4 linked regions of the Macaca mulatta genome follow. The protein of the gene in region 1 interacts with the protein of each later gene in a biochemical or structural test. Links are inferred from orthologs where the notes say so. Each region holds a gene or a part of one and is shown on either strand. Other genes may lie near its edges. The genes, in order: ARL2, TBCD, UNC119 and PDE6D.

Region 1 (6,029 bases):
CCACCCACCTCGGCCTCTCAAAGTGCTGGGATTACAGAAGTGAGCCACTGCGCCCGGCCTAATTCACCTTTTCAAGAAAAGCATTGTTTCCTAAGGGCACCTGGGAGGACGTGAACACTGGGGTGACACATATGTCAGTGGGTGGCTGACTTCACATTAGTTGAATTTGCGTACAGTCCTACTGGTTCAAATAATCATAATTATAGCTGACACTTACACAATACTTATGACATACAAGACACCAACTCATTCGGTCCTCCTCCCAACACTAGAAGGGAAACTGAGGCACGGAGAGGCTAGGCAAGTTGCTCAGCATCCACCAGCGAGTGGCAGGCCAGGATTTGGCTCCAGAGTCCAGGTTTAAGAGCCTGCAGACCACCAGGTCTGTCTTGCAAGGAGGACAGGGCAGGGGCTTCTAATTTTGTACCCTGAAGGGCAGTTTCTTCATGTTCTAAGCTTGTCCACGCAACATTCACTTCCCTTCTTCCACACCTTTTTTTTTTTTTTGAGACGGAGTTTCACTCTTGTTGCCCAGGCTGGAGTGCAATGACGCAATCTCAGCTCACTGCAACCTCTGTCTCGCAGGTTTAAGCGATTCTCCTGTCTCAGCCTCCCGAATAGCTGGGATTACAAACATGAGCCACCATGCCTGGCTAATTTTGTACTTTTAGTAGAGACAGGGTTTCTCCGTATTGGTCAGGTTGGTCTACAAACTTCCGACCTCAGGTGATCTGCCCACCTTGACCTCCCAAAGTACTGGGATTACAGGCGTGAGCCACCGCACCCAGCCCTTTCTTCCACTTTTAAGGAAACCTAGGCTGGGCATGGTGGCTCACGCCTGTAATCCCAGCACTTTCCTAGCACTTTGGGAGGCCAAGGTGGGAGGATCACCTGAGCCCAGGAGTTTGAGACCAGCCTGGGCAACACGGCAATACCCCATCTCTACAAAATAAAAAATTAGCTGGGCGTGGTGGCACAAGCCTGTAGTCCCAGCAAGGAGATGGGAGGATGGCTTGAGCCTAGGAGGTCAAGGCTGCAGTGAGCTGTGATCATGCCACTGCACTCCAGCCTGGGTGACAGAGGGAGGCTCTGTCTCAAAAAAAAAGGAAACCCAGATTTTGCACAGGTCTCTACCCCTCCACAAAAGGATCCTAGTGCCAGCTTCAGAGTAAATCCCAGTGTCTCTTCCTCACCTTTTGATAATAGCATTCAACTTTCCTTTGGGAAAACTGCCCTTCTTCCATTGGATATACTCTGCTGGGAGGGTTGTTGGGCCACAAATCCACATCAAAAGATAATCGTGAGCCTCAAGCTGCGCCAGGCAGGCTGCCTCTCCTTGGCATTTGAATTTTGAGCAGAGAGACAAAAATTGAAGACAATTAGGCCTGAGCTATTTCGGGAGGCAGCAGGGTAGGTATAGTGACCAAGTGTGCTGGGTTCGAGTCCAGCTCCCTCACTTCCTAGCTGCGTGGCTTTGAGGAAGTCACTTAACCTCCTGGAGGAAATGTCATCCAGGAGCCAGTCGATACCAGGCAGCATGTTCTTCCCAGCAACGGGGCTGCAGCCCTCGATGTACCAGTGGTGGCTGTAGAGTTCAGCTCCAGGGCCTGGGAGGACAAAGGTACTGGTGGTGGCCAGTGCCTCCCCTCAGCCCCTTCCCTCCCTGCTCAAGGGTCAGCCCATCCAGGAAGCCTCCCCTGGCCCCTGGGAGAGCTTATCTGTTCCCCGGGGCACCTGAGCTCTCTGTACAGTCCCACGCCAGTGCCACCCCTTAGTGTCCCATATAAAGGGGGGTCTTGATAGGCAGCACTGCATAGGGCTGTCCCTAACTGCATTGCTGAATGGGTAGTACTTAGAACAGAACCCTGCAGAGTAAGCAGCTGTTAGGACCCTGGGCCGTGAAAACATCCACCAGTCTTGCCACTTGGACTGGACCCCTGGGGTGGCCTCATTTCCTATCCTTTCCCAGCCTGGCACTGGTTCCGAGTTCCTGTCGCCTTCAGGAAAGGACTCAGCTACCCCTACCTGATGTGGCCCCCTCCCGCCCTCTGGCTGCACTCCCTCCCACACATGACTCTATGCCCCTCCCCATTTCCCAAGAGCCTTTGCTCTTCATGCCTGTCCTGTGATCCCCTCTGCCTGAACCTCTGCTGGCCTCATACAGCTATTCAGGTTGTCCACTGCACATGGGGTCCTGGCTACAACAGAGAATTGGGAGCTGAATTTCAGCCCATGTTCCATTCAAAAAGTTGGAGCCCTGGTCTGGAGCTGTGTCCCTTTTTCTAATTCATACCTATGAGAGTTGGAGTTCCCCTGGTGAACCGTCTTCCCCTTTCTCTACCTGGAAAACTACTCACATTTTATTCCCAGTTTTAACATGACCTCCTCTAGGAAGCCTGCCTGGACTCCTCTGGATGGAATCAGTTGCACCGTGTCCCATGCTTCTATAACTTTTTTTGCATCCCTTTGACATAGCCGCAGCTCACCATTGACTGCAATGGTCTGTTCCTTTCTGTCCCCTGCTGGATTGTGGGTCCCAGGTGGTCTCTAACGCTGTTGAATCAACAAATGACTCAGCCAGGAATCAGGGCAAGGAGTGGTTTATTTCACAGCTGAGTGAAGGATGAGGCCCACAGCCTCGGTAGCAGCAGTAGCAGCTCCTCCCCGCCCAGTCCTCTTTTCTTGGTATGGTAGCCAAAGGCCAGGCCAGGAGCCAGGGAAACAGCCAGGGCACAGCCCTCCCGCCACAGGAGCTGGGTGGCCACAGAGCAGCAGCGGGCAGCAGTAGCAGCAGCAGGTTGGGGTGGAGGAGGGGGAGTGTTAGTTTGGCTGGCTGACTCCCATGCCCCCATGGATAGTGTTTGGTGAGGGTTGGGGGACCTGGACTGCTAGGTGGAGGGACATCTGGAGTGGCTCAGTCAGCTGTGAAGATGCGGCTGGAAATGTCATCCAGGAGCCAGTCGATGCCTGGCAGCAGGTTCTCCCCGGTGACGGCGCTGCAGCCCTGGATGCACCAGTGGTGGCTGCGGATGGAGTCCAGCTCCAGGGCCTGGAAGAACAAAGGTGCTGATGGTGGTGGTCAGTGACTGCAGACCCTGCCTTCCCTCAGCCCCTTCCCTCCCCAGCCCAGAGGAGCTCCATGCCTCCCTCAAGGCCCTGTTCCAGGTCATCCCATCCAGGAAGCCCCGCTGGTCCCTGAGAGACTTTGTCAGCCCCCAGGGGCACCTGGGCTCTCTGTCCAGTACCACACCAGTGCCGCCCCTTAGTGATGTAAATGCAACACGGGCTCTTGAGCATCCACCAGGATCTGGGCATCATGCCAGGAGCCCCACACATCCTCTCTCATTCTCCTCAAGTCCTCATGAGCCAGGGATTGTGTCAGCCATTTCACCAAGGAGGAAACCAAAGTTCAGAGAGGTTAAGCAACCTGCCTAAGGGCACATAGCTCATAAGTGGCACAGCCAAGATTTTAACGCTGCTCTTTCTCACTGTGGTGCTTGAGCACTAGAATCATGGTTAAAATGTGGGCTCTGGGGTCAGACAGGCTTCTGGTCTATTTAGTGGCTGTGTGACCTGGGACAAGTTACCTAATCTCTCTGAGCCTGCTTCACCATGTGTAAAATAATAGTTCTTACCTCATGAGGTTGTTGTGAGAATGAAATGAGTTAATCCATGCAAGGAGCAGAGCATACTGAAAGCACTCTGTTTGTGCTGGCTACTGTTAGCCTGTGAACAACACATGTGCAGTTCTGTCTTCCCCAGGCTGTGGGCCACCCCATGCCTTATTAATCACTGGATCCCCAGTGCCCTGCATAGGTCCTGCCACCTAGCAGGGGCTAATAAATGCTTTTATTATTACTTTTTTTGGTTATTTTTAATAAATGCTTTTAAAATAAAAAAAGTGAGCCCCTTTCTCTCAGTGGGCCTGTCCCAGGGCCTGGACTCACCTCGCGGATGGCGTTAGAGGACAGTGCTCCAGGCAGGTCCTGCTTGTTGGCAAAGATGAGGAGGGTGGCTCCGGCCAGGCGCTGGGGAAGAGAAGACAGAGGGGTGGGGTGGGGACTCAGAGGACAGCCTGACCCCTCCTCTAACGGCCCAGAGCATCTGGGGTGAAGGATCGACCTGGAAGATCAAGGTGAGGCCCTGTGGTGGTGGGAGAGGCCCAGGAGTGAGTTTGTGGACATAGCCATCAAGGCTGGACCACATGGGCGATGGCAGTTCTGGGCCAGGGTTCTGGTTCCAGTCAACCACCACAGGGGACACCGCTGTCCCCCATGCTTCAGCTTCCTCTTCCATAAACAGGGAGGGGTGCTGGATAAGATGATCCCTGAGCTCTCTGTGGTTCTAGACTGCTCCAATCTGATGACCAGACGTGCACAGAGAATGTGATCTCTCCCGCTTCTGGGTTCACACAGCCCTTTAACCGTTCCACTCCCGACAGGCCACGCCGTCCACCTCTGATTCTAGTTGTTTCCACATATGCATCTGTTATTGGGAGATGTGGGTGGACGGGTCTAACCCTTGGGCCTTGACCTGCCTTGACCAGCATCTGATGGCCCTGATCTCATTTGACCTGCTTCACTCACACAGGAGGTGTGTGCAGTGTGCCCAGGACAATCCCGAGTCTGCCTGCAGAATCCCCCCTTTCACTCTCACAAGTGTCCTCATTTTCAACTAAATGCAATGTTGTAGCTTCAATCAAACACTGGAAACAGAAAGTATATTAGTGGAAAAACTGGTGAAATTCAAATAAAATCTGTAATTAAGATAATAGTAATTCACCAATGTTGATTTATTAGTTTGGACAGGCCACGGTTAGGTAAGATGGAGAAGCAAGGTAAAGGGTATATGGGGGACCTCTGTACTATCTTTGCAAGTTTCCTTCTTTTTTTTTTTGAGATGGAGTCTTGCTCTGTTGCCCACTCTGGAGTGCAGTGGCACAATCTCAGCTCACTGCAAGCTCTGCCTTCCAGGTTCACACCATTCTCCTGCCTCAGCCTCCTGAGTAGCTGGGACTACAGGCGCCCGCCACCATGCCCGGCTAATTTTTTGTATTTTTGTAGAGACGGGGTTTCACCGTGTTAGCCAGGATGGTCTCGATCTCCTGACCTCGTGATCTGCCCATCTCGGCCTCCCAAAGTGCTGGGATTACAGGTGTGAGTCACCGCGCCCTGCCCCTTATTTTTTTTTTTTTTTTTTTTGAGACAGGGTCTTGCTCTGTCACCCAGGAGGCTGGAGTGCAGTAGTATGATCACAGCTCACTGCAGCCTCGACCTCCTAGGTTCAACTGATCCTCCTGTCTGAGCCTCCAGAGTAGCTAGGACTACAGGTGCGTGCCACCACCCCTGGCTGAGGTCACACAGCGAAGAGTCAGACTCTTGAGCCAGGCTCCACGGCCTCTCAAAGCTTCATGCTGGCCTTGGGTCATCCTCCCTAAAGCCCAATGATGTGGGTGTCATCATCACCATTTCAAGGCACAGAAACTGATGCTCAGGGTATTGATGTAGTAACACCCCAGGGACGTTAACTCAATCTCAGTCCACAGCATGTGTCCTGCCTCTGGCACCATGGGCCTCCCATGGTGGGGGCCCAGTGAAGGAATGGAGCCTGCCTCTAGTTTCCCTCTGGGGCCACAGACCCCTCTGGGCATCTGCTGAGAAGGCGGCCACATGTCCACACATTTGCACAAAGGGTAGGAGCTGCCCACCTCCTCCACCAGCAGGCTCTGGAGCTCCCGCTGGCAGTCCTGCATGCGCTGGTGGTCCGCGCTGTCCACTACCCAGATGAGGCCGTCGGTGCTCTCAAAGTAGTTCCGCCAGTAGGACCGCAGGGACTTCTGGCCACCCACATCCCAGATGTTCAGCTTGAAGCTGGGCAAGAAGCAGGTGACAAGAGGGTCAGCTGGGCCCCTCTCCCACCTTCCCTGCCCTGCTCTGGGTTGGCCCACCCATGGGGCCCCTGCTCACCCTCGGTGCTCCAGGGTCTTGATGTTGAAGCCCAGTGTTGGGGAGATGGTGTCGATGTCCTCC
Region 2 (7,294 bases), on another chromosome or scaffold:
GCCCTGGAAGTGGAGGGCGGAGCCCAGGTATCCACACGCAGGCATCAGACACAGGTCCTGGAGGGCTGAACCCCGAGGGGACACTTGGGGCTCCAGGGATGCGGCCGCGGGAGGAGAGCGGAGCTGGCCCACTTCAAAGTCTGCTGCTGACCCCCACTCAACGTGCTGTTCCACCTTTATCAGATTCGACCATCCCACAGGCCCTAAGCCTCCTGGGTCATGAGGAAGCCGCTGGGCCCCTGACCCCCAGACCAAATACGCCAGAGAGAGAAAGCACTGGAAGAAAAGGCCCAGCTCCACATACACTCCCAAGAAGCAAGGAAGCGCCAAGTGCCCCTGGAGCCACCACCTCCCACCCCCGCCAGCGTGACGCCTCCTCACCGTCGACTCCGTCAAGCCGCCCAGGGACACGACAAGCCCCAGCAGGACGGGGTAGCGGTAGGTGGGCAGCCCGAGGAGCTGGGTGATGCGTGAGAAGGCCTGGGAAGGTGCATTCCAATTCACGGAGGCCACGTCGGACCTGCAAGAGAGTGAGTGGGACGAGGCCGGGCGGCCCATGATCTTGCCACGGCTGCAGGGCCAGTGTGGGCGGCCTGCACCCCGACGGTACCTGGGAAACAGCTTTTCCAGTTCTCCCCGGTGCGGCACGTGGGGGATGGGAGGGCTGTCAAAGTGCAGGAGCGTCAGGAACACGCTGATGGCGTGAGCACGGAAACGGTCGATCTTCTCACTGGCCTGCTGGGCCACACAGCACATGATGCGCTCACAGCTGCAAACCAAGAGCAGGAGGTAAACCGAGGGCGGGCGGTAAACCGAGCGCGGGCAGTAAACCAAGGGCGGGTGGCAAACCGAGCGCGGGCAGTAAACCGAGCGCAGGCAGTCTGAGCCATGAGTCCAGCTCAAGCACCACGAGGATATACGGGCTCCTCGGGACTTGGCAGCTGACACCAGGACACTGGCTTGGAAGGACCACACCCCATTACCTTCACATCCCAGGAGCCCGACCCTACAGGTGCACAGCAAATACATGCTACGTACATGTGACACACATGCCAATGAGTTCTTAGGGTTGAAGCGGGGACAACAAATATGATTACAGAAGCAGGTGGAGAAGAGTGTGGGGGACAGAGAGGCCGGGGATGGAGACAGAGAAGCTGGGGCTGGCGAAGAGATGGGGGGAGGGAAGGAGAAAGAGGTGAGAACTAAGGAAATCAGGCTCCGGGATCCCCACAACCGAGTGCCCCCGACAGAGACCCACAAGGGCAGGGCCTGGGACCCCCATGACTCAGTGCCCCTGACAGACCGACAGCAAGTGCAGGGCCTGGGGGTCCCCACAACCTAGTACCCCCGACAGACCCACAGCAAGGGCAGGCCCCAATGGCAGCCTCAGGTGCAGGGAACTGAGTGATGGCTCAGCTGGTCCTGGCAGGAGCAGACCCCCAGGTTCAGGGTCCTAAGCTGAGCAGTCCTCACCTCCAGCCCGGCCCTAACCTGGGAAGCTGGTTGTCATCAAACTGGTCAGAGCACTGGGGGAGGCCCAGGCTGGGTAGCAGAGCCTTGTCCTGGGGGCACTGGGCAGAGGAGGAGGGGCCCCAGCTCAAGCCATGGCTACAGGGGCAGGAGGAGGGGCCTGCACAAACCTGAGGTCACGGACCAGAGAGGCTCTCTGGGAGGAAGATGTGTGCCCAGCAATGCAAATGCCACTGAGCACCAGGACTGCCCGCCCCACCAGCCTCCCCAAGCTTGGGGCTGCCCTCTAGGATGCAGAAGAGCTGGGACGTGACACTCACATGTGGGCCTCGATCAGCTCAGGCTGGCTCCGAGCCAGCAGAAGTGTCACATCCATCAGACCGGTCATGGCGGCCTTGCGGACCCTGATGGGACAAGGAGAGGCAGAGACACCCAGCTTGAGAGGGAGTTCCCAACCCCGGTTCTACAACCACGCTGGCAGGCTGTGCGAATTCAACACCAGTGACTAACCCCACACAGAGCCCAGGCACGCTGCCAGGGAGAAAAGTCACAGGGTCTGCAGAGGTTCCCTGCGTGCTACAGGAACGTGTGCAGGGAAGGGAGACCCACAGCCGCATATAGGGGCCCCGAGGCATCCTGCACACACAGGAGTTTCGGGGATTATCAATCCCATTTCAGCGAGGAATGTTGGCAAAACCCAATGTAAGCAGCCGACAGCCTTTCACTGAAGACGCGTCCTTCCTCACACCCAGTCAATGAGGATGACGCAGGCCCAACACCTAAGGACAGGCTGGACAAGCACCTAAGCCCCGCCACGCAAGCTCACCCGGGAGCAGAGAACAGGTCGTCTTCCCAAGAGCCTTTAAAACGCAAAATACGGCACTCTACAAAGATTTCTCCCTGCAGAAAAGCCCGGGGCCTCCGAGTTTCCATGGAACAGACGGGCTTCTTCGAGGAAGTGCTCCCCCCTGCTGCGCACATACCAGGCACCCACGTCCCCCCTGCTGCGCACGTACCAGCCGCCCGCGTCCCCCCTGCTGCGCACGTACCAGCCGCCCGCGTCCCCCCTGCTGCGCACGTACCAGCCGCCCACGTCCCCCCTGCTGTCCGTGGTGTAGTCGTTCATGCAGCCCAGCAGTGCAGAATAAATCTGGGAAACGTTCTCTCTGCACACAGCTTCGACTGGGGCTCCTGGTTTCACACCAACAGTCTGGCAAATCCTAAAATTTAAAACGTCTGAGCTAACAGACAAACATCTGTGAGCCTCGCCTTCCACGCCACAGAGGTCTGATGTGTGTTCCCGATCCCGAGAAGACACACTCACAACAGTCTAGGACCCTCGGGTACATCAGAAATCCAGAGCTCCTTCCACACGTACGGAACGTGGGACATGCTTCCCCAAGGTCACGCTCTGCCGTCTCTCTTGTTGAAAGGTGGACGGGGACACCCCCTACGGCGGGTCCCTCCCACTTCCCACCCTGACTAGAGGGGACGGATGCTGGCATAGGAAAGAAGGGGGCGTGCATGACCCCCACGGGGCTGCTCCTCTTGTGTGCCTGCAGGGAGGAGAGGGCATATGGCATGGCCCCAGGTGCGTGTCTGTCAACGAGGGTGGAGATCATTCCAAACACTGGCTGGCAGGGTCACCTCCTCTTTGCCAACCTTGGGCCAGGACACATTCCCCAATTCTCAAAGGGGCCCAGTGTTGCTAAAGATGTTTAACATTCACTATGACTATGACAGCAAGAGACTGAACGAGCCTCCAGGACCTGGGACTGGCGATCCTCTGGAAGAGAGGAAACCTAGGAAGTGAAGAATCATAAATCCTGCCTCTGAGCAAAAACATCCTCCTTAGCGTTCATTTCTTGGCCTTTCAGAGACTTACGACTTTAGGGAGGAACTGCTGGGACTCACCTAGCAATGGCCTTCAAGCCATCTCTCCTTGACTCAGGGAAATTTACGTCCTCAGGAGAAGTGTGGGTAACTGCTCTTAAACCTGCGAGAACCTGGAAAGCAATAAAGAATCATGGAAGAACCACAGGCTGTAACGAAGTGCACTCTAGGGAGGTGGTGATGTCGGCCCGGAGCCACAGACCCCGCACCATGTGACAGGCCACTCCTGGCACCACCTTCCTCGAGGGGCCACCCATGGCCCCCGGTGGAGCCCAGGAAGGACACCCAGAGAGGGGTCACCTCCAGCCTCTCCACAGTCAGCCCCCACCCCAGGGCGTCACTGGCGGTCTGGCCGCACCCTACCTGAGGTCCCCCTTTTGTCCTATGCTGAGACCTGGGGTATGGGACAAAGGAAGCAGCTGGGTCTCAACAGCCTCATCTGTCATGTCTCCAAGTGATCCTGTTTCACAGTTATCTGTGTTTCAACTGTGAGAGAGCAGGTCGCCGAGGCCAGCGTGGGGCTGACCTGTGGGAGGACGTGGAGCCGCTGGTGCCCCCGCCTGGATGCGCGGCCGCAGCCAAAACAGGACCCGGCTCCACAAACGCACAAACGCAACTGTGTTCTCCTCACTCTCAGCAGCTGCTTCTACAAACAACACCTTCTCCTCCCTCCCAGAATTCAGCTTTTCAAAGTCTGTCCTCTGACAGGAAAGGGTTTGCCAGGGCCCTGAGGGGCCACAGACCTTGGGTGCCCTCTGCCCCCTTTCTCCTGGCCACAGGTGCCGACTTCCAGAAATCCCCTCCCAGCTACAAGCACTGAGTGGGTTTACTAATGGCTGGGCCTACCTCATGCCCCAACACACAAGGCTCCCACACCCTCGCCCCAGGCCCCGTCCGCTGCTCCCACACCCTCGCCCCAGGCCCCGTCCGCGGTGCGTAGCCAGTCTCACCTGCTGGAGCCGGCCTTTCAGAAGGAAGCCTGGAAGGGCGCCCAAGGCCGACGAGAAGCCACAGCGAGTCATTTCCTCGGGGCTCCGAAGCTCGGCCAGGTACTGCGTGATCAGCTTCTCTGAAAGGAAGTGACGAGTGTGAAGAGAGGCCTCTGCTGCCCATCGTGTACACTCACACCCGACGTGTACACTCACACCCGACGTGTGCCCCAAAACAGGAGCGAAGCCACGGTCAACAAAGGTTCCCAAAGCAGACACATTTCCAAAGTGGCCCCACCTCAAAATAGGGATCAAAAAGAGAATTTTTTTTTTTTTTTGAGACAGAGTCTCATTCTGTCACCCAGGCTGGAGTGCAGTGGTGCAATCTTAGCTCACTGCAGCCTCAAACTCACACTCAGCCTCCCAAGTAGCTGGGGTTACAGGCGTGTGCCACCATGCCAAGCTAATGCATGATTTTTATATACATGATTTTTATATACGAACAGATACATGATGTGCGATAAATGAGCCTGAACTTCAGCATGGGGGCGCAGGACGTACAGTGACGCGGCAGGAGTGACGCGGCAGGACGGCCACGCACAGGACAGGGGGCGCAGGACGTACAGTGAGGCGGCCACGCACGGGACAGGGGGCACGGGACGCACAGTGAGGCGGCCACGCACGGGACAGGGGGCGCAGGACGCACAGTGAGGCGGCAGGGCAGCCATGCATGGGACACAGTAAAGCCAGCCTTATGCTACTTTCACAAAGAAGGAAAAAACAGCAAAATATATTAACAAGTGAAGAACACACACCAGAAAAATGTCACAGTGTGCACAAAAATTCTAAAAACACTGGCCGGGCACAGAGGCTCACGCCTGTAATCCCAGATCTTTGGGAGGCTGAGGCGGGTGGATCACCTGAGGTCAGGAGTTCGATTCCAGCCTGACCAACATGGAGAAACCCCTGTCTCTACTAAAAATACAAAAAATTAGCCGGGCGTGATGGTGGGCACCTGTAATCCCAGCTACTCGGGAGACTGAGGCAGGAGAATTGCTTGAACCTGGGAGGCGGGGACTGCAGTGAGCCACGCCACTCCAGCCTGGGTGATGGAGCCAGACTGTCTGAAAGAATAAAATAAATAAATGTAATGTAAGAAAACACAACTGAAAGTGTGAGGAACACTGTGCTCCAGGACCAGCTGCCAGGGTGCCGTCAACAGAGGGCCCCCTGCAGAGCCGCTTACTCAGGGTGATGCAACACCCTGGGCCGCTGTGGGACCTGCCCAGAGGTCCTCAGCCGGGAACCTGAGACCCGAACAGTCCCGCTCCAGCCGTGATGGTGGTAGCTCTGCTCCCCTGCACAGCTGAGGCCTCCTCCGTGCCCAGACACTCCCCGAGCAGCTTCCTGCTGGAAGCCCCTGGAGCCTTCAAGGAAAGGGCCCCCACTCACCCTGAATTGCGGGATCTGCCTCCCCCGGTTCCTTCATGTAATATTCACTGCAGAGAGCAGCCAGGGCTGAGACTGCTGCATCCTAAAACAAAGGCAGCACGGTGAGCACACAGCAGCTCTGCTCGGAGAAGCCCCCGGCCAGGGACACAGCGGGTCACCCTGAGGTCAGAGAAGCACCTGACCAGGGACACGGTGGGTCACCCTGAGGTCAGAGTAGCCCGAGACCAGGGACACAGCGGGTCACTCCCAGGTCGGAGAAGCCCCCGGCCAGGGACACAGCGGGTCACCCTGAGGTTCAGGCACAGCGATGACTTTAGAACCAAACCGAGAGAACCCCTAAGTCATGCTGCTCCTTTCCAGCACGGCTGCCCGCCAGCGTCTGTCAGACACATGCATCGCTTCACTACAACTAAGAAACTGAGCGGACAACCTGATTGTTCTTTCCACACTGCCTGTCTTCTAATATGGAGCAGTAATAAAATGGAGCATTTTTTTCTTTCCCGGAAACAGGTATGAAGGAAAAGGCATACATTGTGCACCCAGAGTAATGGGGCAGGGCCTCCAGGCTAACCCACATCAGCCTCAATTAGAGACACAGGGCTCCAGTGGGGGCACTGGGAACAGGAGTTGGGGCCGGACAGCAGGAGACCCTCGGGAACCCATCCCAAGGCCACCAGGAGCCATGGTGGGAGGGATGGCAATTGCTACAGAGCAGGAGCGTGCAGAGAGTCACCAGTCCCACCGCATGTAGGGCTCAGTGCCAGTCTCCTCGAACCCCCACCTCTGCCACTTACGGAGGAGCCTTTCGTGACCACACAGCCAGCAAGTAGCAAACACTGAACCCACATGTTCTTTCCACTGCTCCCCCAAAGCCCGGGAGCCGAGGCCAACAGAGCAGCCTTGGAGAGGCACTGGGCACAGGGCGGGCGAGGCCAACAGAGCAGCCTTGGAGAGGCACTGGGCACAGGGCGGGCGAGGCCAACAGAGCAGCCTTGGAGAGGCACTGGGCACAGGGCGGGCGAGGCCAACAGAGCAGCCTTGGAGAGGCACTGGGCACAGGGCGGGCGGGGCCAACAGAGCAGCCTTGGAGAGGCACTGGGGGCAGGGCGGGCGGGGCCGTGAGCAGAGAAGGTACGTCTTCCACAGAGGGCTGCATTCCACAAGTCACCATCTGTGCCAATCCCAGGGGCAAAGTACACCAGCATCACGGCAGGCGTGAATTAATCATGGACTTTTGAAAGAAAATTTTGAGGCACTGATCATGATGCATTAAAATTCAATTAATAGAAGTGTACTTGGATCCTACAGAATGTTCAAGTTACTTAAGGAAAAAAAAATTAAGGAAATTGAAGACGCTAAGGAAAAAGAGATGCTAAGTACGGAGGAAGTCAGAGAATTACAAGACACCTTAATGTACTTCTGTTCTTCATCCTCAATATCAAAACCTAGTCAATGTTGGTAACCATGGTTTGTTTGTTTCTTTCTTTCTTTGAGACAGTCTTGCTCTGTCACCCAGGCTGGAGTGCAGTGGCACGATCCTGGCTCACTGC
Region 3 (8,021 bases), on another chromosome or scaffold:
GGTTGAGGAGTGAGTGTTGGGGAGGTCACAGCTCCGAGCCCAGAACCGGAGCCTCCTGGGGTCAGAGCAGCCATGGGGTCAGGGCGTCCCGCTGTAGGAATAGTCTGCTTTATTGTGCATCACCAGCCGGTCATCCACGAAGTAGAAGCTGTCAGACTGGGTCTCATACGGGTGACGGATCATCTCGCTGACTGCAAGAGAGGCCCACCAGGCCGGGCAAAGGTCAGGAGCCTGAGTCCGGCCACTGCAGAGGCTTCAGAACTGGGGTACAGGGACAGCCAAACAACCTGAGATATCCCCGGCCTCTTTCTCTACAGATGATATGGGAATGGTGGCAGACACAGAAGAGCCCCAGGGTGGGGAGAAATGGGGTCAGACCCACAAGTCTCCCTCCCTCCCACAGCTCAGTCTCTACACGCCCCCCACTTCCCCACTCCTAGAAGGCCCTGCCCACGCACTCAGCTCCTCGGAGAGAGGGGGGAAGTCGTAGATGTGCTCGCAGGTGTTCTTGCTGCTGGGGATGCAGAAGCCAAAGTGGAAGTCGAAGCTTTTGAGTAGCTGGTTGCGGAAGTAGTGCCTCTCGATCATGCGGAAGTTGTTGACAGGCTTGTCTCCCACTGTGAACTCCACCCTGAGCAAGGGAAGGAAGCAGGGCTGAGTCTGTCCTTGAAGTCAGCTAGCCAGCCAGGCTCAGGACAGGCCACCCCTACAAGAGGCTGAGAAGGGCCCCCTCACACCCTCTCCCTCACCCCCACCACCACCCCCAGCCCAACGACTCACGTGGCTCCCACCTGCCTCAGGCGGAGGAAGGCAGGTGTGAACTGGTAGCGGACAAAGCGCCCAGCATTGGGGTCCAGGTCCCGCCGGTTGATGGGCAACCGCTCTGCAATGTACCCCAACTGGGGCTCAGTGGGCTTCAGGCTGGGCCCTTGTCCACCCAGGGTTCCACCCCTGGGCCTCTATCTATCTGATTTTGTAAAAACTCCCCAAGAAATTCTGGGGCACATTGAGGGTTCAGACCATTGGCCAGATAGTGCCACCTAGCGGTTCTAGATCTGCAGGTTCCCAATTGCCACTGTGGTTCCGGGGCCACAGGATGCTGAGGCCTGGGACCCATAGGACTGCAGTTCCCAGAGAGCCCTGCAGAGGGCAGGCTGGCAGGGACCGAAGGGGCAGGGCTGACCTCACAAGATGTCCAGCCTCAGAAACATATGGGAAGGAAAAGAAAGGGCCTCCTTGCCTGCAGACTCCTGAGAATGCTGGGGTCCAAGCCCCACCTCTGTGGACTCCTCTGTGGCCCAAGGAGTCCCTGGGCAGCCCACTCCGCAGCTCATATCTGCCTCGCCATCAATGGCCCACCCAGCCCACTCACCTGAGGCTGGGGGCTTCTTGATTTCAAAGAGGACAGTGCCTGAGTCCATGTCCCGAATCTTAAACCTGACGAAGTCGATCTTGTAGATATTCTCCTCGGGGGAGCACAGGTAGTCTACGGGAGACAGGCAGCTGAGCAAGGAAGGGGCCCCAAAGCCCCTGCTGCCAGGTCAGCTTGTGTGGGACCCCAGAGTAGCTACCATCTTCTCATCCCTGGGATCACTACCCTCTGGAAAGAGGGACCTGAACCCCTGCCCTTGGAGTACACCCCCAGTGTGGAAGAGACATAACTCCACCATGGGGATCTAACAGGGGATAAGGCGTGCCATCCTGGTGGCCTCTGGGGGCCAGGGAAGGGAAGGGCAGAGAAGGGTAGAGGACAAGGCCACCTCCCGGATGCTCTCCCTCCCACCCTGGAGTTGAGGGTCCTCCTTCTGGCCTCTGCTCTGCCAAGGCTGGCTAGGTGACTTTGGGAGAATTGGGTCTCCAGCATGGTGGGAGCCCCTCCTCTCATATGGGAACAACTTCCTGCAGTCTGACCTGTCTCTTCTACTGCAAACTCAATCTATCAACTTCTCTGCTACCCTGCCTTTGAGAACCACACTGTAAAGGGGGCCACACAGCTCTGTCTTGGGAGAGTCACAGTCCTTCTCTGGAGGATACTCCTACCCTCGCCCCACAGCTGCCCCTGGCATGACATCTAGATGTATCAGGTGAGGCTGATGTTGAGGGGACTTTCCCTGATATGGGTGGTGCTGGGGCAGGTGAACAACCCCTTCCCTGTTCCTCCTCCCCTCCCAACCCCCTCCTCTCAGTAAGAAGCTTACACCAGCCCAGCTCCCTTAAGCAGCTTAACCAAAGCTCTGCTGACTCAAGCCCAGAGCCTGGGATATGGCAGGGGGTGGAGGCCAACTTTGCTCTTATCCTTTGTTGATCTCCAAATGGGAGGAAGTCTTAGCAAGCAGAGGGAACCCCCTTAGAGGTCATTTAGGCAGCCCTGGCTCTGAGCCACCACCATGGAGAAAGTAGTCCCGGACCCCTATAGAGAAGAACACAGGCTAGGCCAGGAAGCGAGTGTGGCAGGTGCAGCAGCGGGTGTGGAAGGGCTAAAGGGAGTCCTCGGGCCCACAAGGGGAACCAAGAACAGTGGGAGGCCCTGCCTGAGGAAGCTCAGGGACCTACAGGGCCTGATCTAACCCTCACAGCTCTTGCAGCAGCAACTTCAGGTGTTCAGGGAGACCCTGGCAACAAAGATAGCTGAGAGGTGCAGGGAGGGACTCTGATGCTGTCAGCCTACACAGCATCACATCCTCCCCTGGTGGCCCACAGAGGCCTGGAAATCACCCTCCAGGCCCCTGGGCCACCTATTCCTCTGGGGCAGGAAGAGGAAGTGAATATAAAGTCATTTTCTCTTCCCCAGGCCTGCTTCTTCCCCAAGCCTGACACAGTCCCCTCCAGGAAGCCCTCCTGGCAGCCGTCTGGTACCTGGGGCCCGGCATGGACTTTATACAGCTTGGGGAAGAGTCTACTACAGCCCACGTGTGGGGTGGGGAGAGATTGGAAGTGGGCAACCTCTATCTCATGCCATTCACCCTATTTTCACAGAAAGTAAGCACCAGTATAAAGACATAGAAAGAAGGTACAGAGCATAGGGAATAGAGTGGCAGAGTGGGGAGCAGGATCCCAGTGCCCAACTCCCAGATCCCTGTAAGGCCTTCTCTTCTCCCATTCTCTAACTTTTGGAGCCTCTCTCATTTGGGAACAACTTTCTGCAGTCTGACCTCAGTCTCTTCTACTGCAAACTCAATCTATCAACCTCTCTGTCCTTAGAAGAAGTGAGGAACAGGGATGTCTATGGCTCAGAACACCATGGCCACTCCTTCCCTTCTAGAAAGGATGAGGCCTGGGACCCAGGTTCAGGTCAGAATAAGGAGCAGAGTGGCCAAGGGCTCAGAACACAACTGCTCTATTCCTCTCAGCCACAAATAGCTTCCTAAGCTGGATTCAGGGCCCAGTAATCTGGGAACAGCAAACCTCGGACCTGCGTGATTAGGGTCAGAAGAGACCAGCAAGAGGTGCCAGGGTGGAAATCCCTGGAACCCTGTTCTCAACTCCTGCACAGGAAGGGGTTCCCATGAAGCCCTTTCCTCTACTCACCCTCCACAGATTCCCCATCTCTAAGGGCTATGAATTGCCTCCAAATTAGGAGACAAATGGTGGTACATGAGCTGGAAGCTCCCTCTACTTGCAAAATCAACCCCCCAAGTTACTCAGGGCTCAATCTGACCTCTGGACTTCCTCTGAGACAGTTCTGCCCCAGAGCTAAGCTGAATCCTAAATGCTGCTGTTGCAAATTGTAGCCCAACTGGCTTCAACATCAGCCTGGTCCAGCCTCCCTCCCTCCATCGACGCCTGCTTGGGCAAGGGAGCTCAGTACTCTGGGGGCCCAGCCAAGAATGGCTGCTGCCTAACTCAGTAAGGATAGAGGAGTTGGCCCCCAGGGACCCAGGAGCACAGGCTCAAGGCTGCCTCCCCTCCACAGCTCTGTCTGGGAGCCCTGTGTTCAGCTGCTTTGGAAGCTCTAGGGCTCAGGTCCACTCCAATATATGCACCCCATACCCACAGAGAGGCCCCCCAACAATTATTCTCACAAAGGGGGCCAGGGCAGGTTGCTGGTGAATGTGGCCAAGGTGGAGAGCCACTGTCTCTTCATCCTTTGAGGCTCAGCCAAGGCCTCTGCTATGAGGTTTCCTAGCCCTCATTCCCTGCCTATGATGACCCCCTCCCCTGCCCTGAAAGCCAAGTTGTTTGACCCCAGGCAGCAGCCATGAGCAGCCCTGTAGGGCCCAAAATACTACTGATCAAAGAGCCCAATGTACACAGAATGCATAGATGCCAGGCACTGTACAGAATCAGAGGACTTATCTTCACAATAACCTTACGAGATAGATACCATTATCCCCATTTTACAGATGAAAAGACATGCTGAGAGGTCAGGTTACTTGCCCAAGTTCACACAGCCAATTATATGCAAAGTTGAAACTCCAGCCCAGGCAGTCCAGCTCAGAAACTCTTAACCACAGTGGAGACCAAGCCTCCCTTGATGACAGAGCCCCTAGAATAGGACAGGCGCTAGTCCAGGCTTGGGGGGACGTTAAGCCACTCCCCATGAGAAGGAACCACAGTCAACACTCTGAAGCTGCCTGCTCAGTTTCTTTCCTGGGGAAGAAAATGGCCCAAGTATTCCTGGAGGATCAGGGTGAGGGTATTAATGGTTGGGGAGACATGAAGAGTCTGAATGCCTCCGAAGTAACTCAGCCTCCACCTAGCCTCCAGGGTGGGGGCTGAGGACAAGCTGCACTCAGCCCCTCTCCTCATTAGTGCAGGGGCGGGCCTCAAAGCGCTCTGAAGACTCCACAGAGGCAGGGCTACAGTTGCAGCTGCTGCCGCACGCACCTCCACGCTGGGAAAAGGGGACGGACCCCCGGAAAAGGAAGGAATAAATCTTGAAAGGGAGAAGAAAAGCGCACAGAGAGAGAGATCAAGGGAAGGGGGTACACAGAGATCTCAGGCTTGGTGGCAGAAGGGAGAGTAGGGGACACAGGAGAGGGAGACTCGGTGGGGGAGGGGAGGCGGGAAAGGGGGCGGGGGCTGGGGCTCGGTGCGCCGGGAGGGCCCCTCGCACCCTCTGCCCTTCCCGCCAGCGGGAGGCGCTCCCTCGCGGGTGCTCACCACCCGTGATCCGCTGCAGCCCCAGCACGTCCTCCGGCCCGATCGGCTGCTTCCTCTGCAGCGGCCCCGGCCTGGGCCCTGGGCCTGCGTCCGGCTCCGACTCGGACCCAGATTCAGATTCCACCGGCGGCTCTGGTATGGGGGCCACGCTCGGGCCCGAGGGCCCGGGAGCGGGCTCCGCCCCCGTCCCGGCCCCACCGCCGCCCTTCTTCACCTTCATGGCCTCGCCGGGCCGCGGCTCGCCTGCTGCTGCCGCCGCTGCCTGCGCCGGCTGGAGCCGGAGGAAGGGGGAGCGTCCGCAGCCCCGCCCCCGGCCGGGGCTCCAGGTACCGCCCCGCCCCGGCCCCGCCCCTGGGGTGGGCCCTGCGCTGATCCCGCCCGCCCCGCGGCCCACCCCTGCCGAAAGGCCACGGACGTGGGGGATGGGAGTCGGGGGATCCTGCCCTGGGCTTCATTCTGTTTTTCTAACACTTTCTTGCACTGGTACTAGTGGGGTCCTGACTACCTCTCCGCTTACTCACTGTGTTCCAGCCTTTCTGCTCATGAGTTCCAGGCTCAGGGTCTCTGCTTGGATGCTCTTCCCCAGATGGCCTTTTTTCTCCTAGTCACAGCTCAAATGTCATCTGCTCAAAGTTGCCTCCCTCACACCCAGTCTGAAGTCCTTCCCCCTCAGTCACCATCTGACCAGCCTGTTTTTGTCTTTCCAATGCATTATGTGAAATTATTTTTATTTGTCTGCTCTTCCTCATGAAAGCTCAGCTCTGTGAAAGCACTGATCCTGCCTACTTTGTTCTCAGTAGGACCCCGGCACCTGGCAGAAGGCTCCCTGCAGCTGGTGCTCAAGATATATATATAGGGCCGGGCGCGGTGGCTCAAGCCTGTAATCCCAGCACTTTGGGAGGCCGAGACGGGCGGATCACGAGGTCAGGAGATCGAGACCATCCTGGCTAACACGGTGAAACCCCGTCTCTACTAAAAATACAAAAAACTAGCCGGGCGAAGGTGGCGGGCGCCTGTAGTCCCAGCTACTCGGGAGGCTGAGGCAGGAGAATGGCGTAAACCTGGGAGGCGGAGCTTGCAGTGAGCTGAGATCCGGCCACTGCACTCCAGCGTGGACGACAGAGCGAGACTCCGTCTCAAAAATATATATATATATATATATATATATATATATTTTTTTTTTTTTTTTACCTGATGAATTAGTATCTCAGGTAAAAAGCAGATGCTAACAGCCTTGGGCAATCTAGCTAGGAAAGGCACATGGCCACGTGGAAGCAAAGTGGACCTGTGGGCACAGGAGGACAAACACCAGGAAACTGTTACTTACCAGTGAATGCAGAAAGAGTAGAGCTCAGACTTTGTATCATTCCAATTCATATTCAGCCAGTGTTTATTAAGAGCCTAATATACACTAGACATGTTACATGCTGATCACATTTAATCCTCACAACCACCTTGTAAGGGAGACATCATCAGTGCCATTTGAATGAATGAAAAACTGAGGCTCAGAGATATTCAACAGCTTATCCAAAGCTCTCCAGACAATAAGTGCAAAAACAAGGATTTGAATTCAGGACTCTTTGATTCCAAATCTGGAACCTTCTGGAACCTCTGACTCACACACACACACACACCCCCAACACCACGTCCTGAGCTGCTGCCTCCTGGACTTCCACCAGACTGTACCTGACAGACAAAGCTAGCTAGGAGGGAGGGGAGTGAGGGAGAAGGTCCCAGAGGTGACCAATGCCTGACCCCTTCATGACGGCAGGGACTAGGGCTCTCCCACAGGCGTTAGAGAGAAGAGTGGAAGGGAGGGACTTTCCCATAATGCTCCCTCCTCTCAGTGCATGAGTGTGCTATGTTGAGAAATAGGGCAAAAGAACAAACAGTCCATGCCACAGAGGGAGACAGGGAGCAGCCTTATCAAACAAGATAAGGAGACCCAGATGATGTGCCTTTTGGGGCCCCTGGTGGTGGAGGAGGACTGAGCCAGGGGAACGGGAAAGGAAGAAAAGATGAATCCATCTTGGAGTGTTGTACTTTGGTTGCTGGAAAGCCAATAGTGGAGACTGGAGACAAATATTTAAGTCATTCCGGCAGGCCCCATGTACGTGCCTCTCAATCTAACACCGCCCACCTTGGCCAAAAAGGAAGGCTTCCTGTGGAGGAGCTGCCCTGCTCAGTCTGTCTTCTCAGGCTTTTTCCAGGACTTGTGGGTCTCCAGGAAGATCTTGACCAGGGACAGGAGGATGGGCACAGCCATAGGCAGGAAGAGTGGGATGTAGATGGCAAATTTCTGGTCATCAGGGAAATAAAGGAGGTGGAGGAGTGACGGGTCAAAAAAGGCACGCTCAGAGGACGTCACAGCTTCCTGGCTGGCGACAAAGGCAGATGCCAGGTGCCCAGAGGCCAACTCTTCTGCTGACTTCTGGACTGCAGCTACAGCCCTGTATACCTAGGAAGCAGAAGGGACAAGAGGGTATACCAGTAAGTCCCAGGCATTGGTGGAAAGGGTGCTGGGCCTTACTGTGCTTTCCATCTATCGAGGAAGATGCCTGGAGTTCATCCAGGATCTATGGAAGTCTGTCTAAAGGGATATGGTTTATTTTCCTAGGGTCAGCTTGAAACCTCGCACTGTCATCTGCACTCCTGCTGGGGGGCTGGTACTGCTGTCTAGAGGAAGGCTGGGACACTAAAGATGAAGAGTGTGGTGAGACCAGAGAGCCTGTGAAGTCCACACCGTGACTTCACAGGCTCTCTGGTCTCACCACACTCTGGCCCTCTCTGACTACTCCAGTCCCAAGCTGCAGAATCCATCCCCTGCCCACTTACCTCAGATGCCACATCGTCCTTAATGACAATGTTGCTGATCTTGCCCAGAAGCTGTGCCAGGGAGGTGAGGGTGGTGGTGGCTG
Region 4 (7,863 bases), on another chromosome or scaffold:
GGGAGATCATAATGGTGCTCTTTTTGTAGTGATAAACTCTTCTCACAAAAACAGATACTCTGAAAGAGGTAGGGTGAGATGGGGTGAAGGTGATATGAGAATAAAATCTTGTAAGATTTTGTTTTTGAAACAACTGATGGCAAATACAAAGGCTTATACTGAATTCACTCAGACCATGCCTGATTTATGCATCACTCTTACGGAGTATCTTTAAATTTTTTTTTTTTTAGAGTTGGGGGTCTCACTATGTTGGCCAGGTTGGTCTTGAACTCCTAGCCTTGAGCCATCCTCCCACCTAGGCCTCCCAAAGTGCTGGGATTACAGGTGTGAGCACCATGCCCAGCCAAGTCCTCATGTTTCTATCTACTATGGGCATATGGCAAGCTTCTATGTGAATAAAAGGGGCATAAATATTTATAGGGACCTTAAACACACATATTATGTTAGTCACAGACCAATCCTATTGTAAACTGTACTAAATCACATCATAAAGCTATAATAATTCAACCAAATGTGTATAGGCACAAGAAGAGACAAATAGATCAATGAAAGAGAAATAATCAAAAAATAAACCTACGTCTTATGAAAATTTAGTATATGACAAGGATGGCATTTCAAAACAGTGAGGAAAAGACGGACTTAGTACTTAGTACTGGAACTACTGGCTATTCAAACAGCAGAAGTACTTAGATATCTACCCTATACCAAATGTATAAATACGTTCCAGGTGGATTAAAGAGCTAAACATTAAAAAGAGAAGAAAAGATAGGATATTTAGTTAATCTTGGGATAAGAAAGATCTTTTTAAACAAGATACAAAATGCAAAAGCCAGACGGCAAATATTAATAAACTTGAGGCCAGGCACGGTGGCTCACGCCTATAGTCCCAGCACTTTGGGAAGCAGAGGTCAGGCGGATCACGAGGTCACGAGTTTGAGGACAGCTTTGCCAACATGGTGAAACCCGTCTCTACTAAAAATACAAAAATTAGCCGGGCATGGTGGCATGTGCCTGTAATCCCAGCTACTCAGGAGGCTGAGGCAGGAGAATTGCTTGAACCTGGGAAGCGGAGGTTGCAGTGAGCCAAGATTGTGCCACTGCACTCCAATGTGGGCAACAGACCGAGACTTCATCTCAAACAAATAAAATAAATTTGAAATGACAATTTTAGAATTCTGTTCAACAAAAAAGGAGACAATACATTGAAAGAAAATATTTGCAAAATATATAATAGGCAAAGGATTGATATTACAATATGTAAAGAACATCTACAAATAAGAAAAATAAACAATTTAATAGTAAAATGGGCAAAAACAAAATTAACAATTTACAGAAGAAAAAGAAATGGCCAAATAGAGATGTGCAACTTATCTAATAACAACAAGAATAACACTAGCTAAAGCATAATGCTTACTGTAGATCAGGTGCTTTTCTAAATGCTTTAGATATCAACTCATTTACTCTCAAAGCCCCATGCGATAGGTAGTATACTATTATTTTCTGCATTTTACAGATAAGAAAATTGAGGCAAGGTTAAAGCAGTTGCTCAGGGACACACAACTAGGAGTGCAGGGCTGGAATTCCAATGCAGGCAGTATAGCGACATAGTCCAGTATAGCTCTTAACCACTATGCTACATTACCTTTTCATGGATGTAGGGATCCCAGGAGAATACCAATTAAAACAATATATCATTTGTTATCTAAACTGGCAAACAAAAAAGACCGACCTAGTCAATGTGGAAAACTGAGTACTATCAACACTGTTGGTGGGAGAACATAATGGTGCTCTTTTTGTAGTGATAAACTATTCTTACAGAAACAGATACTCTGAAAGAAAGTTCGGAAAATCTATTTACCCAATAAAAGGTAGACAATAGTCAGTTTCTTACTAAAACATTAATTTTACTTTTTCCTGAAGGTAGTAGCATATCTTAACATTCCTGCTTTTCTTTTCCCTCTTACTCCACAAATGCCCAATAAAGGCTACCAGAGGATGAGCACGCCACTGCTCTCATGCTAACTTTTTGATGTGGCTGCTTCCCTGGTGCTTCAGGATTTAATCAGCTCAGGTCAAGCTTTCCCCGAAAGCCTGTTTCTGGATGCACTAACATCACTGAATTGGTTGATTCGCTTTTCCTTCTAGTGGGCTGACACAGATTCTGCTTTCTGAAACTCTTTTCCGTATTTGTCTCTTATCCTCTTTCTTAACAGGTTCAAGAGCCAAGACTGAAGGTGAGAAGCTCAAACTTTTCTGCTTTGTTCAAAAGCCATTAAAAAGGTATTTCTTCTTTTCAGCAATATGGTATTTCCAATCAGATGAAAACGTTGCTTCTGAAATCTCTCAGTTCTCCATAGTTTCTGGTTTACTGCTTACACAGCATGTTAAGTAACAATATTATTACATTGTTATATGTTAAGTAATAATACAAATTACTTGAGGGAAAAATAAAATTCATGTCATAGCTTTTCCAGCACTTCAGTCATCCCTATATACCTATATGATCCATTATGGAGAGAAACACAGAAAGGCACATGGAGCTCTAAAGAGGCTGCTACTAAATCACTACATGAAAGTACTGAAACTTTATCCTGAATGGTAGTATGCAAAGGTGATACAGCCTTTAGGTTTTTTTAAAAGCCTAGATCAATTTTCACTTGAAAAATCTCACTTGTACATCCAAAACTTCCTTTTTGCACTGTGGTCTAAAATGTATTACCAACTTGGTTTCTGATTATAGCAAAGCAATTAAATTTTGCAAGGGTGACATGGACATTGTGAAAACACAACAGAATATCAAGAAAACAGTGCTTTACTAAACCTCCAAGGGAGGAGTCCTAAAGCGGTGACTACCTTTTCACTGAGGGAGCAGTTTAAGAACGTTCCGTACTATAGATTACAGACAGGATGTATGCAGAGATTAAAGCCGGCAGGAGAATGGAAAATTTGAATATACAAGTTTGCATTTTTTCATCTGCATCATATGGTGACAGACTAACACACTCCACGAAAACACAAAGCTTCCTTACCACATTAAGGAGAGGCTGCAAGAGCGGCATCACAACAGGCCCGAGGCAATGATTTCTCTACCCCACTATCCTACCGTGGCCCCAGCGACATCACACTATTGCTGGACAGCTCCACCACAGCTAGGCATTAACCGCACCAACAGGAGCGAGCAAAGACACCTCGGCTAGGAGCCCCAGCGCGAGGCACCCCACACCTAAGCCTATGGTCCTCGTGTTGCTGGAAAGGAAACTGAGGCGCTGAGGGGGAAGCAGTGACCAATGCCTCAGAAGACCAAGAGTGTTAAGACGAGGTTGATCTTGGACTTCTCTTTCCCCACCTCCCCCAACTACTCTAGCCCTGGAAGAAGCCACAAGTTTGGAAGAGAAGTTGTGGAAACCAGACGGGGGTGGGGTGCGGTGCGGTGGGGGCCCTGAGAGAGTTTTAAAAGCACTGGTATTTGTCCCACACAAGGTCGCCCGCTCCAAGTCACTGTTCCCCGCTCCTCGGGTAGGCTTATAGCCAAAGAGGCTTCTAGACTTTAAGATCAGCCCACCGCGCCCCCTCAGCCCTTCCCTGCGGGCCGCAGCCCCCTCCCGGCCTCTGGGTCCCGGCCGGGGATTGGAACCCAGCCGGTCTCTCCGATAGCGTTTGCGACGCCCGGCACCTCTCGCAGCCCAGTACCCCAAGCTCTTCCGTCCCCACCCGCCACCCCCTGTGGCTCCCGTCAACGTCCCCTTCCTCCCTCAGGACGCCCCTGGGGGCGCTTCTCGCGCCTGGTCCCGCCGGGTGCACGGCACGCTTTTCCTTTCCTCTCCCCTCCCGCAGCCCTTCTTCCGCGGGGCCCACCTGGCGCGGCCCCCGCCCCCGGCCAGTCTCCTCAGTGAGCGGCCGCCTCCCAAGTCCTCCCGGCCCCGCCCCGCTCCCGGGCGGATACAGTTTGAAGCCCCTCAGGATCTCCCTGGCCCGCTCGTCCTTGGCTGACATGATGCGGCGCTAGCCGCCCGCGGCTTTCTCACTCTGGTCGGCGGAGCCTCGCAGACGGTGCCCAGGAGCCGAGGATGGAGCCGCAGCCCGGCTTGGAGACCTCGGGCGAGCAGCCGCAGCGGCCAGACCAGGACCGGCCTCTCTCTCCCCTCAGCTCCCGCTCCTGATCCCTTCTCCTTCCCCCTAGCCTCGCAGTGCCCCCCTGGAACCAATGGAAAGCCAGCTTTGGTGATTGGCATCCCAACCAGCCAGTAGGAGCGCGCTGCGCCTTCGCAGGGGGACTGTTAACGTCAATGGGAAGGGCCCTCCCCGGGAAGTCCCATAGGACACAATATTCATCTGGTGTTATTGCCTAGAGTTTGTCCCAGCGGAGTGTTGGCTTCGGATCTGCAGAGGCTTTAGGGACCTGCTCCCGCAGCTGAGCACACTAGCCATTCGAGACGGCAGCTGGTTGCACTGTGCTACGCGACAGAGACTACATTTCCCAGCATTCCAGCGGCGCACTCGGGGGACTACAGATCCCAGCGCACCACAAAGAGGTCCGGAGACTACAAATCCCAGCATCCTCTGCACTCGGTTCCTCTGTAACTTAGACTCCAGTGTGCCGCGCAGTGTGCGCAAATTCACAAACCCGCCCGCTGAGTTGGTGGTTTCGGAATCCCGAGACTTGAAACCCAGCGGGAAGACCCTTCTCACCGTCAAAAGAAGATGACAGCCCGCAGAGAGTTAACTTCTGTTTACATGGAACTCAGACATCTTCTGCAAATCATGGTAAGGCTGCTAACAACAAACAAAAACACTGATTAAACCGTGAAAGATAACAAAATGACTTCTTCAAATCGTGCTTGTTGGTCTGAGGCGCCTTTTACGTGTTTTTCAGGGGTTTTTGCTGTATTCCTGCTTTGGACCGGGAGAGCTATGGATTGTATACTCAGAATATCAAAACATAAAGGGACTTTGCTAATCTACCCCGTTGTTACGTATGAGGAAATTGAGGCCCAGAGAGGCGAAGGGATTGGCCACAGATCACAGCAAGTTCGGGCAGAGTTAGAATTCAGCCCTAAGTCGGCTGACTTGCAGTCTGGACTCTTTGCACCACACTAAGGAGGTGATATTTTTAGCAGCATAGCAATGTGAATTATTCTCCTTGAACAGTTTTCCTATCCAGTGTTGAAACACCCAGAATTAGGTAGCATTTATTTGGTGGATTTCTTTCAAGTGAGGGAGTGTGATATTTATTTTCAGCCTAGGTAGGACTTGGTGTTTTGTTTTTTGCCACTCAAGGTGACATTTAATGTGATTTCAGGAAGTAGGTAAAATTGCAGTGTGAGCCACGGTTTCCTTGGAAACCTCCTCTGTCCTTCTCTTGGCCTTCCTTCCTCTGCCTGTCCCCTCTTTCACCCATCTGGGAACTCACCCAATTTTTTCTTCCATGTAATTCAATAAATATCTTTTCAGCCTGTTATTTGTCAGGCACTGAGTGGGTAAAAGGTGAAGGACATGGTCACTGCCACCAGGAAGATAAACATCTATTTAGGGAAATAAGGAGACTCCACTGAGATTCAAGATGGAGTGTGATAAAATGGCATAAAAGAAACGACATCAGAATGCTAAGGAGGCCCTGATGAAAAGGTTAATTGCAGCTGGCAAAACTTTAATGGAGAAGGTGGCATTTGGACTTGAAGTTTTTTTCCATGTTAAAAAAGTTTTTTTTTTTTTTTAAATGAGATGTGACATACAGTATGGGAACAATTTTTGCATAGGTATACACCCTTGTCCCCACTACCCAAATCAAGATATGGAACATTTCTAGCACGCCTAGTGCTCCTTCCCAATCAGTATTACCTCCTTACATATTGAGATAATCACTCTTCTGACTGTATCACCATAGATCAGTTTTGTCTGTTCTTGAATTCCAGTTAAATGTAATAATACAGTATGTACAGTATGTGTCTGGCTTTTTTACTTTATCAATATTTTTGTGAAATTCATCCATGTTGTGTGTAGCCTTTTAACTGCTGAATAGTATTCTGTTGTATATATATACCACAATTTACCTTTCCACTGTTGGTGGGCATTTGCGTTGCTATTTTTTGGACTATTACTAGCAAAGCTGTAGCGAGCATTCTTACATGTTTCTTTTTGTAGACACTTGCACCCATTTCTAGGAGAGGAATTGCCGGTGTGTAGGGAGGTTATGCACATGATCAGTGATAGTAGACATTGCCAATTTTTCAAAATGATTGTACCAATTTACGCCTTTGCCAGCAATATGAAAGAGTTCTAGGTGCCTCTTATCCTTGTCAACACAGGATTTTTGTTGTCATTCTTCTTAATTGTAGCCATTCTGGCTGAATGTGGTATCTCATTAAGGTATTTATTTACATTTTTCCTTATGTTGAGCGCCTTTCAATATGCTTGTTGGCTAGTTGAACGTTGTCTTTCCTGAAGTGCCTATTCTTTTCCCAACTTTAAAAAATTGGGCTGTCTTCTTATTGATTTGTAGTTCTTTACCGTCTGGATATAGAGTTCCTTGATACATGCTTTGCAGATATCTTTTCCAAGGCGTGGCTTGTCTTTTCACTCTCTTACTGGTGACTTTTGAAACAAATTATATTTTTGAGGGATGGGGTCTCTGCTATGTTGCCCAGGCTGGAATGCAGTGGCTATTCACAGGCACCAGCATTGCCCACTACAACCTCGAACTCCTGGGATCAAGTGATCCTCCTGTCTCCGCCTCCCAAGTAGCTATAGTAAGACTTTAGGTGTACTCCACTGCATCTGCCAAGCAGAAATTCTTAATTTTAACATAGTGCAATAGTTCCATGTTTTCTATTATGGTTAGTGTTTTTTGCATTGGATTTCAGAAATCCTTGCTTTTAGAGTTGGTAGGTTTTTTACAGGCTAATAAAAGAGCATTCCAAAAAAGAGCAAGCTTGAGCATAGGCCTGGTGTCTGAGAGGGATGGTATAAGTTGTGCCGGGCATGGGAGTTTGGACTGTGAAGGGGGTGGGGTGCGACAAAGCTAGAGGACTTAGGAGGGAGGCACACTTGGAAGGGCTTTCACTGCAGCCATGGGCTGGGTGTGGTGGCTCACACCTGTAATCCCAGCATTCTGGGAGCCAAGGTGGGAGGATCACTTGAGATCAGGGAAGAGCAGCTTCAGCAACATAGAGAGACCCCATCTCTAAAAAAAAAAAAAAAGAATAAATTTGCCAGGTGTGGTGGCCTGCACCTGTAGTCCTAGCTACTTGGAAGGTGGAGGTGGTAGGATCCCTTGAGCCCAGAAGTTCAAGGCTGAGGTGAGCTATGATAGTGCCACTGCACTCCAGCCTGGGTGACAGAGTAAGACTGCGTCTCTTAAGGGAAAAAACCCAAAATACTAAGTCCAAATTGCAGCCATGGAGTCTGGACATTATTCTGGAGGAAGTAGAGGCATTGCTGGAATTTCTATGAAGTCAAACTAAACTCTGTTGTCTTCCTCTCAATCCCATATTTGTCCCTCCTCGTCCATAGCCCTGTTCACTTAACACCAGTTCCAGACAGCTCTGGTCTCCCAGGACAGAATCCTGGGTGTTATGCTCCCTCCCTCTCCTTATATTCAGCTGGTCACCAAGTCTTATAAATTCTACAGTCTAAATGTCTCCAACAGTGTCCCTTCTTTTTCAACCCCAATTGCTACTCCCTTTGTTTTTGTTTGTCTTTTTGAGATGGAGTCTCAATCTGTCACCCAGGCTGGAGTGCAGTGGCACAATTTTGGCTCACTGCAACCTCTGCCTCCTGGGTTCAAGCAATTCTCATGCCTCAGCCTCCAGAGTAGCTGAGATTAGTAGTGCATCACCATGCCCGGCTAATTTTTGTATTTTTAGT

What was found.
Region 2: the proteins of ARL2 (region 1) and TBCD form a complex in vitro, tested with the Homo sapiens proteins (2 studies listed by BioGRID and IntAct). The link is inferred for Macaca mulatta from reciprocal best matches to the Homo sapiens genes ARL2 and TBCD.
Region 3: the proteins of ARL2 (region 1) and UNC119 form a complex in vitro, tested with the Homo sapiens proteins (2 studies listed by BioGRID and IntAct, with this or other methods). The link is inferred for Macaca mulatta from reciprocal best matches to the Homo sapiens genes ARL2 and UNC119.
Region 4: the proteins of ARL2 (region 1) and PDE6D are reported together in a solved structure, tested with the Homo sapiens proteins (2 studies listed by BioGRID and IntAct, with this or other methods). The link is inferred for Macaca mulatta from reciprocal best matches to the Homo sapiens genes ARL2 and PDE6D.

What each region holds. Positions count from the first base shown.
Region 1 is NC_133419.1:9,362,128-9,368,156, forward strand, and holds the end of ARL2 (ADP-ribosylation factor-like protein 2), read right to left. Parts: coding exon 5,967-6,029; intron 5,871-5,966; coding exon 5,688-5,870; intron 4,076-5,687; coding exon of another isoform or gene 4,063-4,075; coding exon 3,948-4,062; intron 3,727-3,947; coding exon of another isoform or gene 3,637-3,726; exon of another isoform or gene 3,636-3,636; intron 3,050-3,635; coding exon 2,915-3,049; 3' UTR 2,585-2,914; downstream 1-2,584. UniProt on the Homo sapiens protein: Small GTP-binding protein which cycles between an inactive GDP-bound and an active GTP-bound form, and the rate of cycling is regulated by guanine nucleotide exchange factors (GEF) and GTPase-activating proteins (GAP).
Region 2 is NC_133421.1:92,636,047-92,643,340, reverse strand, and holds part of TBCD (tubulin-specific chaperone D), read right to left. Parts: intron 5,827-7,294; coding exon 5,745-5,826; intron 4,433-5,744; coding exon 4,314-4,432; intron 3,477-4,313; coding exon 3,385-3,476; intron 2,691-3,384; coding exon 2,553-2,690; coding exon of another isoform or gene 2,454-2,552; intron 1,875-2,453; coding exon 1,791-1,874; intron 770-1,790; coding exon 611-769; intron 521-610; coding exon 382-520; intron 1-381.
Region 3 is NC_133421.1:37,247,384-37,255,404, forward strand, and holds the start of UNC119 (protein unc-119 homolog A), read right to left. Parts: upstream 5,398-8,021; 5' UTR 5,324-5,397; coding exon 5,104-5,323; exon of another isoform or gene 5,057-5,103; intron 1,487-5,056; coding exon 1,373-1,486; intron 884-1,372; coding exon 781-883; intron 632-780; coding exon 459-631; intron 192-458; coding exon 79-191; 3' UTR 1-78. Other genes in the region: GPI-anchor transamidase component PIGS, read right to left, coding at 7,286-7,561, 7,939-8,021. UniProt on the Homo sapiens protein: Involved in synaptic functions in photoreceptor cells, the signal transduction in immune cells as a Src family kinase activator, endosome recycling, the uptake of bacteria and endocytosis, protein trafficking in sensory neurons and as lipid-binding chaperone with specificity for a diverse subset of myristoylated proteins.
Region 4 is NC_133417.1:137,044,454-137,052,316, forward strand, and holds the start of PDE6D (retinal rod rhodopsin-sensitive cGMP 3',5'-cyclic phosphodiesterase subunit delta), read right to left. Parts: upstream 4,189-7,863; 5' UTR 3,994-4,188; coding exon 3,944-3,993; intron 1-3,943. UniProt on the Homo sapiens protein: Promotes the release of prenylated target proteins from cellular membranes. Modulates the activity of prenylated or palmitoylated Ras family members by regulating their subcellular location.